Neodiprion lecontei: one gene and its partners. The protein of the gene in region 2 interacts with the protein of the main gene of each other region in a pairwise test. Links are inferred from orthologs where the notes say so. Each region holds a gene or a part of one and is shown on either strand. Other genes may lie near its edges.

Region 1 (3,758 bases), on a different chromosome or scaffold from region 2:
GACAGACAAAGTTGGTGTTATACATACGTATAGTTAAAAATTTGGTAATTTATGGTAAAACTGTGACATCGAATTACGATTCTTGGTATACACCGGATTCCCGGAGTCGAAAAATCCAATCTGAAAACCCAAAGTTTTTCTGATTCGTTTTTGCGATGATATAGATATATTTGCACGACGATAGTGAACGTATGAGAATTAGAATCGCGTTATAGAAATCCAGCATGAGTGAAAGGTGCGGAGATCTCTACGTAATGACTATGTAGAATCTTTATTAACTTAACTCGCTGCAAATCCAAGGTATTTACTTTAAGTAGTGTAAGATGTAAGGTTTTATCCGTGACATTTGACGGCAATAATGTAATGCCGCAAAAGCGTGAATAACGTAGAATTACGCGGACATTTCACCATTACGACCAATGCGCGTTGTATGCAAATTAATCGATTTACCGATGATTCGTACACATACACCATACACGTTAATCGCATAGCCCTATTTTTCATGCACGCAGAATTATTAATAAATCAACGAAGTTTAAAAGAAATTCCCGCCATCGATTCGAGTTCAAAGTATAATAAAAATAATGTAAGAATGCTTTTGGTAGCATCAAATGACGTCACGCACATGGAGATGTGAGTGACAATCAACATAAAACCTGCTCAGTGTTATACCTATATATGCACACCCGAGTGTATGGTCGATGACTTAATGGTTCCTGCACTTATTACATGCCTGTATATTATTTCCAGCAGTATTATTATTAAGCTTTGGGCAAACACGAGATCTTGACGATATTACGCAACACAACCAGAGGTGTATTAATCAAGCTGCCTGCAGACGACCGTTTGAACAGACGAAACGACAGGAATATGCGGGCAACTAAATGCTCCCGATATCGATCACATGCAGGTTGTTCATTTGCAGGAGCTGCCGGATACGCCGCAATCATGCTCCGAAGGGTCAGATGGGTGGTTCAAGTCGACGAAAAACCGATCGAACACGTGCCCGTCGATGACCAAATCGCCACGACGAAAGGTATTTATCATTCGTCATCTGATGATGCTTACCAGAAAACGTACAAATGCATCGTCTGTACATCTATATCTGTGTATATTTGACTGTATCAAAGAAATGGACTGTTTTTGGTTTTCAAAAATTCGAGTCGAAAATATTGTTCCAAATGGCGAAAAAAGAATGCTGTCCAAGTTTCAGCTCTTAACACTAATATTTAGAGGTGAAACTTGGACGGCATTCTTTTTTCGCCACTTGAAACGATATTTTCGACTCGAATTTTTGAAAACCAAAAACAGTCCATTTTTTTGATACAGTCTAATCTACAGGGTGACAACCCCGAAGAGTTTTGGGAGACTTTCAACGGAAAAAGTGAGAAAAATGTCCATTCCACTTGAAAAAGTTGTCAGAATTATTTTCACCGCTTCAGTGAATATGTGCACTTAATGACTGTTTTTTTTCCCTTCTGTCTTGTTCTTTAAACGAATGCACGAATTCTCACGAGGAAGTTCAATTACAAATAATGATCACACGCGAGTAATTCGTGATTAAACAAAACATCGTGATTTCTCCAGAAAAAAAACGTATAAATGTTGAGATTATCATCAAAAAATTTTTTTTTAAATTTTCAATTTCTGAAATTTTTCTTTTTAAAATAAAACAAAGTATATAAATAGTATGTATCAAAGTTATTGCGGATGAAAAAATAGACAAGGTTGATCATCGAGCGATGGGACGTGGAAAAAAATGACGTCAATCGGAAAAAAATTGATTTTTGGTGAAAAAAGTGATTAGTTGCCGGTACTGTATTATCTCTGGACTGTGTTAGGAGCAGTTAGGAGATTCAGCGTGTTGAGAAATCCCCTCCCAAGCTGCGAGACTACACATATATAGGACTCGAGGCGCACGCAAGCGGTTTCGCTCGTAGTTCGGACGGCCGCCGATAGATGGCTACCGGTCGACCGCTCGCTCGCCGATGAAGTTTTGCAATTTTTTGTATAATGCTTGGATACTTTCAGAGTGTAGTATCGCTTCTCGGCCTATGGCTAAGATCAAAGTGTAGTATCTGTTCTTATCAGCTTAATATCTGATACGCTCCCCATTGGGGAGCCAGAATATTAAACTGGTTTTTGGAATTAGACCGGATGTCTGGGGCTTGCTCCGGTCCGGTCACGGGTCGACTCGACATTGCAGTGCCGTCGAGACTGGCCCACCTTATACAATACAATCATAAATAGTAGAGACGGTAATTCGTATGAGTCGTCATCATTGAGTCAAGATTCAAGAGTATTGCTTTATACCCATGACATGACTTGTTCGATTTCGAACGTCTGCGAGACGATCACTCCTGTAGTAGTTAATTATAAGATCTTTTGCGTTTCTACGTTGTAATATACAGCAGTAAAGTAGATGGGTAGATACTTAACTACAATATAATGTCAAAGTTGGTATAAACGTTGACCTAAACGAAACGAAACGAAAACGAAAAAACTATGCATGTTTACAATTTGTTAAGAAATCATACGAAATTGACAAACTTATATTAGTGAGGGAGCTTTCGCGGTGTAGAATAACATCATTTTCACAAATTATTTATTTTCTTTTAGATTGAAATTTTGAATCAAACAAACAAAAAAAATTTTTATTTTGAAGACGTTTGTTTGATTCAAAATTTCAATCTAAAAGAAAATAAATAATTTGTGAAAATGATGTTATTCTGCACCGCGAAAGCTCCCTCACTAATATAACTTTGTCAATTGTGTTTTACGAGTTATTTTGAATTATTTTAAGCTATTCCAAAGGTTCGACGTAAAGAGTTATTCTAAAAATGCATCTTTACGTACTTCAATCGCAGTGTTAAAAATGTTTTCAATGATAAAATAGTTGCGAGAAGAAGACAGAATACAACCTATGCACACGACGTATATTTCTAGTGATTACCAAAGATAAGTCAGAACTTACAGTATTCGTGAAACTATATTATCCAATTCAACTTCTGTATTACACGTAACTTCCTCATTGAATTCCATTAATCGATTCGCGTTGAAAATTTCTACTACTGCGAATATCAACAGAAGTTGAAAAATTTCGTACGATTTCTAACAAAACTGTGAACACGCATAGTTTTTTCCAACGAATTATTGATTTTCGTCAAAAAATTCTAGTACCTTGTACATTTGTCTTACCGAAAAAATACTAATTTTCATGCAAAGTCTGCAAATTTAAAAATTGTACGAAAATTTCCCAATTTTCCTTAAAAAAAAAAAAAAAAAAAAATTCGCAGTAGATCGTAGAAATGATTTTCACCGTGGAGAACTTGACGGCGGGCAAACGGTGTAAAATATTCAAGGCCCGTTGGAACGTGGGGTATAATACGCCCGACGTCGACGCGGGTCGAATCGACTCTCTGATCGTCAGTGCGACGGCGCCTCGACGACGAACTCGCATGGCATCCCCGACGCCTGCAGGGCACTTGGCAGTTTCGCGATTTTCGCCGCCGCATGCGGTCGCCTCGTTTTCCGAAATTTCAACCCCGGCGCTGACGGGATGCGGAAATGACCGTCGATCGAGCAAATTACACAGCTTTGCATGAGACGCGCGACCCTCCTGCGACTTTCTTATCTTCCTTCGTTAATACTCGCTGCTTAGTTTGTGTTGCAAATGATTGCACGCACCCATGTAGTCCGGTAAAAATAGGTCTGAACTAAAACTGTTTGGGATGAGTGGAATTTTTTTTTTTTTTTTG
Region 2 (3,758 bases):
TGAAATGAAAAAAAAGCACATTAGAAAAAAATACATATGTGTTAATGTCTAATTACTTTATTATCAATAACCAATGATCCTTAGGATTACGTTATATCTTCATTTAAAATGAATTCAGTTTTTGATCGCATCCTAGGAGCTGCAGGTCTAGCGCTCATTGGCCTGGCACTGGGAGGACGCAGTGAAGTTTTTGATCTCACTACTGTCGTCTCAGGAACTCTATAAGCAAACCACAGTAATAGTTTGAAAACTTTACAAACATTGTTTTCGTTTCATTACCAGATTATAAAAACACTATCGAGCTATTCATTAATATTGAACTATATACTTATTAGACTGACATTGCTGTATTTGCAGAATCGTCTGGGGGACCTGCAGGCTTTGGTGGTGGAGAACCTGGATGCTCAAACGTATACTGTTTTTGTAATTTGTTTGGTACTGTATCTGATTTCGATGATTTATGATTTGGTGACAGCAGGCTACTTGCTTCTCTTACTTTGTTCCCAGCTGAAGATTTCGGTTTCGATTCACCTTCTAAGGGAGCTGAGTTTTTTTCTGCACTTCTCTTTGTCCTACCATCAGAATGTGAGCTTCTACGAGAACCATCATCATTCGCGCTTGTTTTTCCCCTTATTTCAGCAGATTGTCTTGTTTCTGGTTCTGATATTCTATCAGGCGGTTGTTCCGTTTGGTTATTACCTTGTTGCGATTTTACTTGCTTGTCTATCGGCGAGTTGGTGTTACGCAACGAAGATTCCGTCATTTTATGAGTAGGTGAATTTGTTGAATCTGATAAAGCAGGTTTGGTTTTTGGGGAGTCTAACGTTCTTGGTGATGAAGGATCTTCCTTGGGTTGAACTGACGCTGAGCGTCTTTGTCGCCTCACCGAAGATGGCCGTTTTTCTTCCTTGGACTAAAAATAATTTAGTTATACAATCATTGGGCGACATTACAAGAGTTATGGATAATATGTTTGTCAAATGACTAAATCTTTTATAAAATCGTCATGGCGGTGTTCAAAACAATGGAAGAAAATACTTTCTTATCGATCAAAGTAAAAAAAGAAAAGGCTCTACGATACAAAAGGTAAACAAAATACGACGCTCAACCTATATCTAAAATAGATTATCTACTCTAACTCCTATATCAACATCTCTTTACCTCAGCAGAAGGAATTTCAACGATCTTTTCTTTTTTATCCCCACCCTTATTTTTTGCTTTATTCTCTTTTTCCTGTTCGTGTAGTTTTTCTCGTCTATTCTCAGCACGGGTTTTAACTTCTTTGGGTGCATTTTTGCTGGTGCTTGTAGACTTTTTCTTTTGATCAATCGGAGGCTTCTCTTTTTCCACTGGTTTTCTAGATTGTGAAGACTGTCTAGACACTGGCTTCTTAGACTCATCTTTAGCAACCAGTTTTGATTTCACTGGCCCCTTAGATCTACCATTACTATTTTTATAGTGCTCTATTGCTTCTGCGCTGCTGATCTATTGTGAAAGATAAACAATTACACAGTGATACCATTTTGAACATTGGGTTTACCATTTTACGAATAACTAGAAATTATTGTGAATACCTTTTTGTCAAGGGCTTTTCCAATCGCTTGCAGTAACTCATTGGTTCGAGTGGGTTCATGTCCAGCGATGATCTTACTGGGTCGTACCATGAGGTTATTTCCAGTAATCAACTCTGAAATGTTTAACTTATTATGTTAGCTATCTAGAATAATCAGGAAAAATATGACCATCTAGATAATTTGTGTCTTCGTTTCACTTACTCACAACGTCAATCAGTTTTGTTAAATACGCAAGCTTGGAGTCTTTGTCTTTTATATTTTCGGAATTCAATTCATCTTCTGTAAAAAGACCATCGAGAAATCCAGTTTCTCTAATTACCTTTAACATTATAAGAACGTTAAGCACAATAAATTAGCAGAATAATTTCAAAGTTTTTATTTTAAATAAGGGTGAGCAATTATGAAAAATGAATTAAATGTAAAAAAGCGCGTAATATTAACTAACAGTATTACCGATGAGACTATATCATGTAGAAATCTAAAAGGTGGTTTCTTTAACAATTTTTCCGTGAGTGGTGGTTTTTTAAAATATTTCCCGAGAATATCTTGAGTTTTTTTAATTACTTCCGGCTTTACGTCTTCCGTCATTTTCTATTATATATTATGGAAATAAAATACGACGTTTCAAATGTTGAAATAGATTTGACAGGGCGATGTTGTATACGTATCGGTTGCTGTTGGCGACGGATCACGTGATCAGATCTATAACCACGTGATCTTCCTCCACTGAAATGCCTTCCTCTCGTCACGCGCAGGGCAGCCAACATTACAAACTCGAATTGAATTGTGAAAAAAAGCTTAGCGATAAAGAAAAATACGATATTTCTTATAAAATTAACGATGGTTATAGCATTTGAAAATAAAATTCCCTTTTGGCTCATGTTATTTTCATCAAAATATCTTCGGAATTGAGAATCTTTGCTTCACAAAGGCGTGCCCCTTTATGTAGGCCATTTTGTAATGCGTCGTGTCCCAAGGTGGACGTTCCATCAGGGGCAAATGTTCGTGTTTATACATTTTTTCCCAGTCTTACTTTAATATTGACACATTATTTATTCCAAACTGAAACACAAACTGGTATTGCTGTTTAGATTTAGGATAATAAAGTGTTTTGTACATGAAACAAACACGCTGAGCAACGTCTAGATCACAGGTATCGTAGTGCGAGGTTGCAAGTAAAGAGATCTGGAAAACCATTGATCATCGCTGCGTCGGATGTCAGGGAGATTCTCTCCCGTTAGACTGAAAGCATGCCGCGTGTTATAGGTAATTACCCGTCCCCGATGATTACCAATCGGTGCCTTTCGTTCATACGTATATTTTGGTTAAATCGACGAATTCACGCCATTATACATGTTGTCTGTTACAGAAATCGTAAAGATAGAACATCCCGTCCCGTCAGGGAATGTCGAGGAGGCTGTTGAACTATTGTTTGGTATGTAGTGGCGTAGTTGCCGAAAGTGATTGTTAATACTGTTATTCTATTACTACGTATCTTTTCTGTAATACAAATAAAATTTTCTACGATAGACGGGTAAACTAACCATCTGTTCAACACCTGTTTGATTTCTATTGTAGGCGACTCACAAAACGAAAATGCCATACAGGCTGCAGATGCTCAGGAGGAGATTGAACTACTCAACGGACAGTGTAAGGATAAAATGAGTGTATTTTTAGCACCTCAAACAATTATTATGTATACGTATATAATTCAATACATGCGTACTAATGTACATTGACATCATAATATACATTGACGTAGAATTTTTATTTAATAACACGAAAGGCGGCTCCTTTGAAATGGTAATAAGTTATTAGGCAAAAAATTGGATACAATTAATTCTTCAATAATAATTGACTCAAAAACATGCAAAAAATATCAGTTATTCTATGTGTCACACAAAGTGGGATTCTAGAATTTGAGATGGCTTTTGCGAATGACGTCACAAGTAGTTTTCGAATCTGATTTACTTACAATGATGAGCATCCCATATTCGATAACATTGTCAAGTAGTTCTTTACTACTAAAGTTGATCAGATATTTTTTTAAATGAGCAATGTAAATATCAATGACTTAGTAAGTTACTGTTACAGATGAAGTTTTTTATACTAATACATGTGTTTCCATTACAGCTGGGTCAGACGAAACTGATCATATAATTGAAATTATAACAGACTACGAAT
Region 3 (3,758 bases), about 23 Mb from region 2:
GATGCAAATGTCATTGAAAGAAAAGATCCCGTATCCTGCGCTGACATTACGTGCTGTGAGAGCCGCACTAGTACATATAAACACCAACTGGAAAAAAAATGTTTCACTTGCTGTTATTGTTATTAAAGTTGTTGGACAGTAATATTTTTCTTACTACAAACGTAACTGATAATGAATTGTCGGGTAAATTATAGTTATTTGACAGAAATATTAATGCTAAGGATAACGGAAATCTAATAACTTACAAGCTGTCTATTTTATCCAAATATGATATAAAATTGTTCAATTCAGGCTCAAGGGATGGAAATATTGCAGCCATTGTAGCTCTAACTTCTTCGTTAACTTGTCTTTCCAACTTTTTACTGGCAGTAGAATTTGCTGATCCGGGACTTGTTGCTCCATTGCTAATACTATCAGTCTCGTCCGCTTCAGTTCCCTTTTAACAATTAATCACCTCACGCATTATATACTGATCAATTGCTATATTATAACTAATAGAAGCAACTAACGATATACCTGTGATTCAACGAAATGTAAGTAAAGAAATATTTTGTACCTTCACGGGCGACAGAACCGAGTCAAGCTGGAAAAACGAAACGCAAAAAGCTTGTTCAGCGAGACAGACAGGCTGCAATTGAGAAAGAGCTCTATCTAGAACAGAATCTAAGAGGGCTCCCTCTCCTTGAGGAGCCCAAACCTCCCCACCCAAGAGACAAAGAGGCGCTGGACTAACCAAGTCATCCCCTTTTTGTCCACTAGATTTCGATGTATTGGCTGTGAATATATGTAAGATGCACAACAAAATGTTTACTTTTGCGTATATACTATGGCTGAATTTATGTAAGGTTATATATACCCACCATTAAGTTTTTTGCTAGTAACGCGAGTTTTTGCTTCCTCAAAAAATAGCTTTAGGTCTCTCTGGTATAATTTGCTCATGGTGCCAGTGTACACTTTTGTTAATTGAGTGAATGCTTTGTTATCCAAAGCTCTGAGTAATCTCATCAATTCGGTGTATGGTTCTAGTTCACGATGTACAGCTTGATGCGTAGGCAGCGTAAGATCTGTTGTCGAGGTTGAGGCTTCGCCTGTGTCATTGCCCTGAAAATCAAGTCAAGTAAGATAATGGTTACAGACTATTGCCTAAAGCAATATACGGCAAGAAAGAGAAAATAGAGACAAACCAAGTGTATGAATAGATTGTTCAGATGCCTGGCTACAATCAAAGAGAATTTAGCTCTAAGTTTGTCCAGACGCCGACGTTGTTCCGAAGCAGCTCCTAATTTATCAAGACCAGGAGGTAAAGGAACAGATGTAGCTTTCAATAAAGCTACTCCTGCTCGTCCGAGCTCTTCTCTACCTCCTGGAAGTTCTGCTTCGCTCAATGTGCGTTGGTGTTCTGCTGGTATATCCAGTTGTGTCTAGTTGAGTAAAAATTCGAAAGGTGAGTGGGAAAATCTGTAGATTGTAGAATACTCAGGCAGAATCCTTGTAGTTACACACTTACAATTACAGCGTCAAGCTGTTCGAGGAGAAGTCTAGCGTTGTGATTAGCCGTATGAATGGCTTGGTTTTTTTGACCAACTCTAGCCATTGCATCTCTGATTCTACCAAGTGCCTCGTCATAGACAGCAAGACGTGATTCTACTAAGGATGCTTCGGTAATAGCAGCCTCGATACCATTCATTAATTGAATTACTTGAGGCTCGGAAACTAGGACCGATTGTACATTTTGCTATTGAAGTAAGAAATATTCACATTTATTAACATGTTTTATCTTTACTGATTATTTGGTGCCTTAAAAATTGAGAATATCTTACCCCATCTAATATCGATAGATCTTTAGAGAGTGTTTCCATAAAACGTTCTGCATCTGAGACTGCATAGTCACAACTTGCCATCAACGATGCTAGATACGTAGCCTCCTTGTCAGTAATTGGTTGATAATCTGCAGATACAGGTTGAGACAACAAATCTGAAAAAATTCAATATACATAATGATACATGTATCTTTCTGAACAACAGCATCAAGGTTGTTTGAAAATTATTTACCCGGTGTGAAAATAATGCTGTCGCTTTCTTTAAGAGATGCAGGATCGATCATCCAATCACTGGGTATATTTTTAAACTCAGGTCTTTGCGGCATGCTACAAGAATATGTGTATAAATTCCGTATGAACGTTGTTCTTTCTTGAGCGTAGGTGGCTGTCCATTTATAGACCTTATCGATGTATATTTCCAGGTCCAGCGAGTCAATATTGACACCATCAACCATTTGTATATCAGTCAGAGGCCAGGACTGTTTTTTCTTGTAGACATTCTTGTCATTTTTTTTAACTTGGCAAAGCAATAGTGAGCCTGGGGTGTCAGTTGTTCTAACGATACATAAAAAGCTAGTCTTTTTTTTTTTAAAAGCCTTACAAACATGACAGAGACTAAGCAATTGCTGATCGGCTGGCGCAAACAGTTCTCGTTTTAGCGCATGTTTTATCACAGCCATTGCATCAACAAATTTTATTTAATTATTCAGGTTTTCTTTATTATTCAAGCATCAGTGATGACTGGCTTTTGTGGTCGGTCTAGCAGCTCTTCCGTCTGAAATGTGAGGAATAATTTAATATATCGAATCACTGACAAGGTTAGAGTGCTTTAAATTAAATTGCTTGTTGTGGCTCATGTTCTTACAGAAGAGAAACTATGACTCGTGTGAGTGGTTTTTTAAAGTTTGGTTAGAATCACCAGATTCACAGACTTGTAGGTCAAAGAACTGACCACAATCATTGTGCTATTATTGAGTCTTATGCAACACTGTGCGCTGCTTGGAGTTGGATAAGAAACCTTGGGAAAATAGTGATTGGTGGTCTGAAAAGAGTGCCAGCGATTCCATAGATGAAACTTGTCTTTCGGATATGCGTACGTACTCGGTGTATTTTCTGAAAATCATCATTCCAACCTCGAAATTAACATTTTATTACCTAAGAATTAAGATAGTGTTACCAGGCTCCTGAAACACTGCCAGTTATTTCACAACGCTTCGTATATCATCACACAATTGATTGCAACCAATTTTTTTTGTTCTTTGAGGCTGCAACTGTCATTTGACAGCCCACATCGAGGCTTTGAGGGCGTAAACAGGAATCTAGCTATATTCTGGAGCGCAGGCGTGAGCTTAGAATTTTTTATTTCGTGTAGCTCTACATTTGTTTGATGCGTTATGTGTTGCAGCTATTAGGCGCAAATTCATTGCATTTCTCAAGTAAAAATGAAACAGAAATTTGATATTATGTACTGAGTTATCGTTGCTACCTGCATAGGTTGAAATTGCATTTGGCGTGGTTGAAATTTTATAATCCGAATAATACATTATTTACTAAATGTATTTTCAGTTCTAGAAAAGAACTAAATACTCAAAAGTTCAATGCCCTATATTCACAAAATTCCAAATTCACAAATTATATCTTACTTCGAATATATGCCTGATTGTTGAATGAGAATAGTACAGTTGAAATTTTGAGTCGTATTAACAAAATTATACTTGTAGCGTGTCAGAGCATCCAAAGCGCCTGCAGATATGCAACTCAACTTTCTCTCGTGGAAGAAACGCTATTGTTGCCATCGGATAGGCTCATTGGATTTTTAGCATCTGTATTATATAATATCGATACATTTTCCCATGCCGTACTTTCACGAAATCATCCGTTGTATGTATAGTAGCGATTGCATAATGATGAATGCTACGTATTTCTGACCGAGTATAG

The links.
Region 1: the proteins of TRAF3-interacting protein 1 (region 2) and dystrophin, isoforms A/C/F/G/H interact in a two-hybrid assay, tested with the Homo sapiens proteins (2 studies listed by BioGRID and IntAct). The link is inferred for Neodiprion lecontei from reciprocal best matches to the Homo sapiens genes TRAF3IP1 and DMD.
Region 3: the proteins of TRAF3-interacting protein 1 (region 2) and exocyst complex component 1 interact in a two-hybrid assay, tested with the Homo sapiens proteins (2 studies listed by BioGRID and IntAct). The link is inferred for Neodiprion lecontei from reciprocal best matches to the Homo sapiens genes TRAF3IP1 and EXOC1.

Annotation. Positions count from the first base shown.
Region 1 is NC_060266.1:24,308,006-24,311,763, reverse strand, and holds the start of dystrophin, isoforms A/C/F/G/H, read left to right. Parts: upstream 1-933; 5' UTR 934-948; coding exon 949-1,036; intron 1,037-2,039; exon of another isoform or gene 2,040-2,231; intron 2,232-3,758. UniProt on the Homo sapiens protein: Anchors the extracellular matrix to the cytoskeleton via F-actin. Ligand for dystroglycan.
Region 2 is NC_060263.1:6,633,821-6,637,578, forward strand, and holds the start of TRAF3-interacting protein 1, read right to left. Parts: upstream 2,293-3,758; 5' UTR 2,163-2,292; coding exon 2,028-2,162; intron 1,895-2,027; exon of another isoform or gene 1,894-1,894; coding exon 1,776-1,893; intron 1,688-1,775; coding exon 1,575-1,687; intron 1,486-1,574; coding exon 1,162-1,485; intron 914-1,161; coding exon 342-913; coding exon of another isoform or gene 329-341; intron 220-328; coding exon 91-219; intron 1-90. Other genes in the region: zinc finger protein 2, read left to right, coding at 2,825-2,840, 2,944-3,009, 3,153-3,239, 3,708-3,758.
Region 3 is NC_060263.1:29,176,092-29,179,849, forward strand, and holds the start of exocyst complex component 1, read right to left. Parts: upstream 2,501-3,758; coding exon 2,053-2,500; intron 1,976-2,052; coding exon 1,821-1,975; intron 1,736-1,820; coding exon 1,508-1,735; intron 1,422-1,507; coding exon 1,185-1,421; intron 1,102-1,184; coding exon 861-1,101; intron 775-860; coding exon 557-774; intron 437-556; coding exon 246-436; intron 88-245; coding exon 1-87.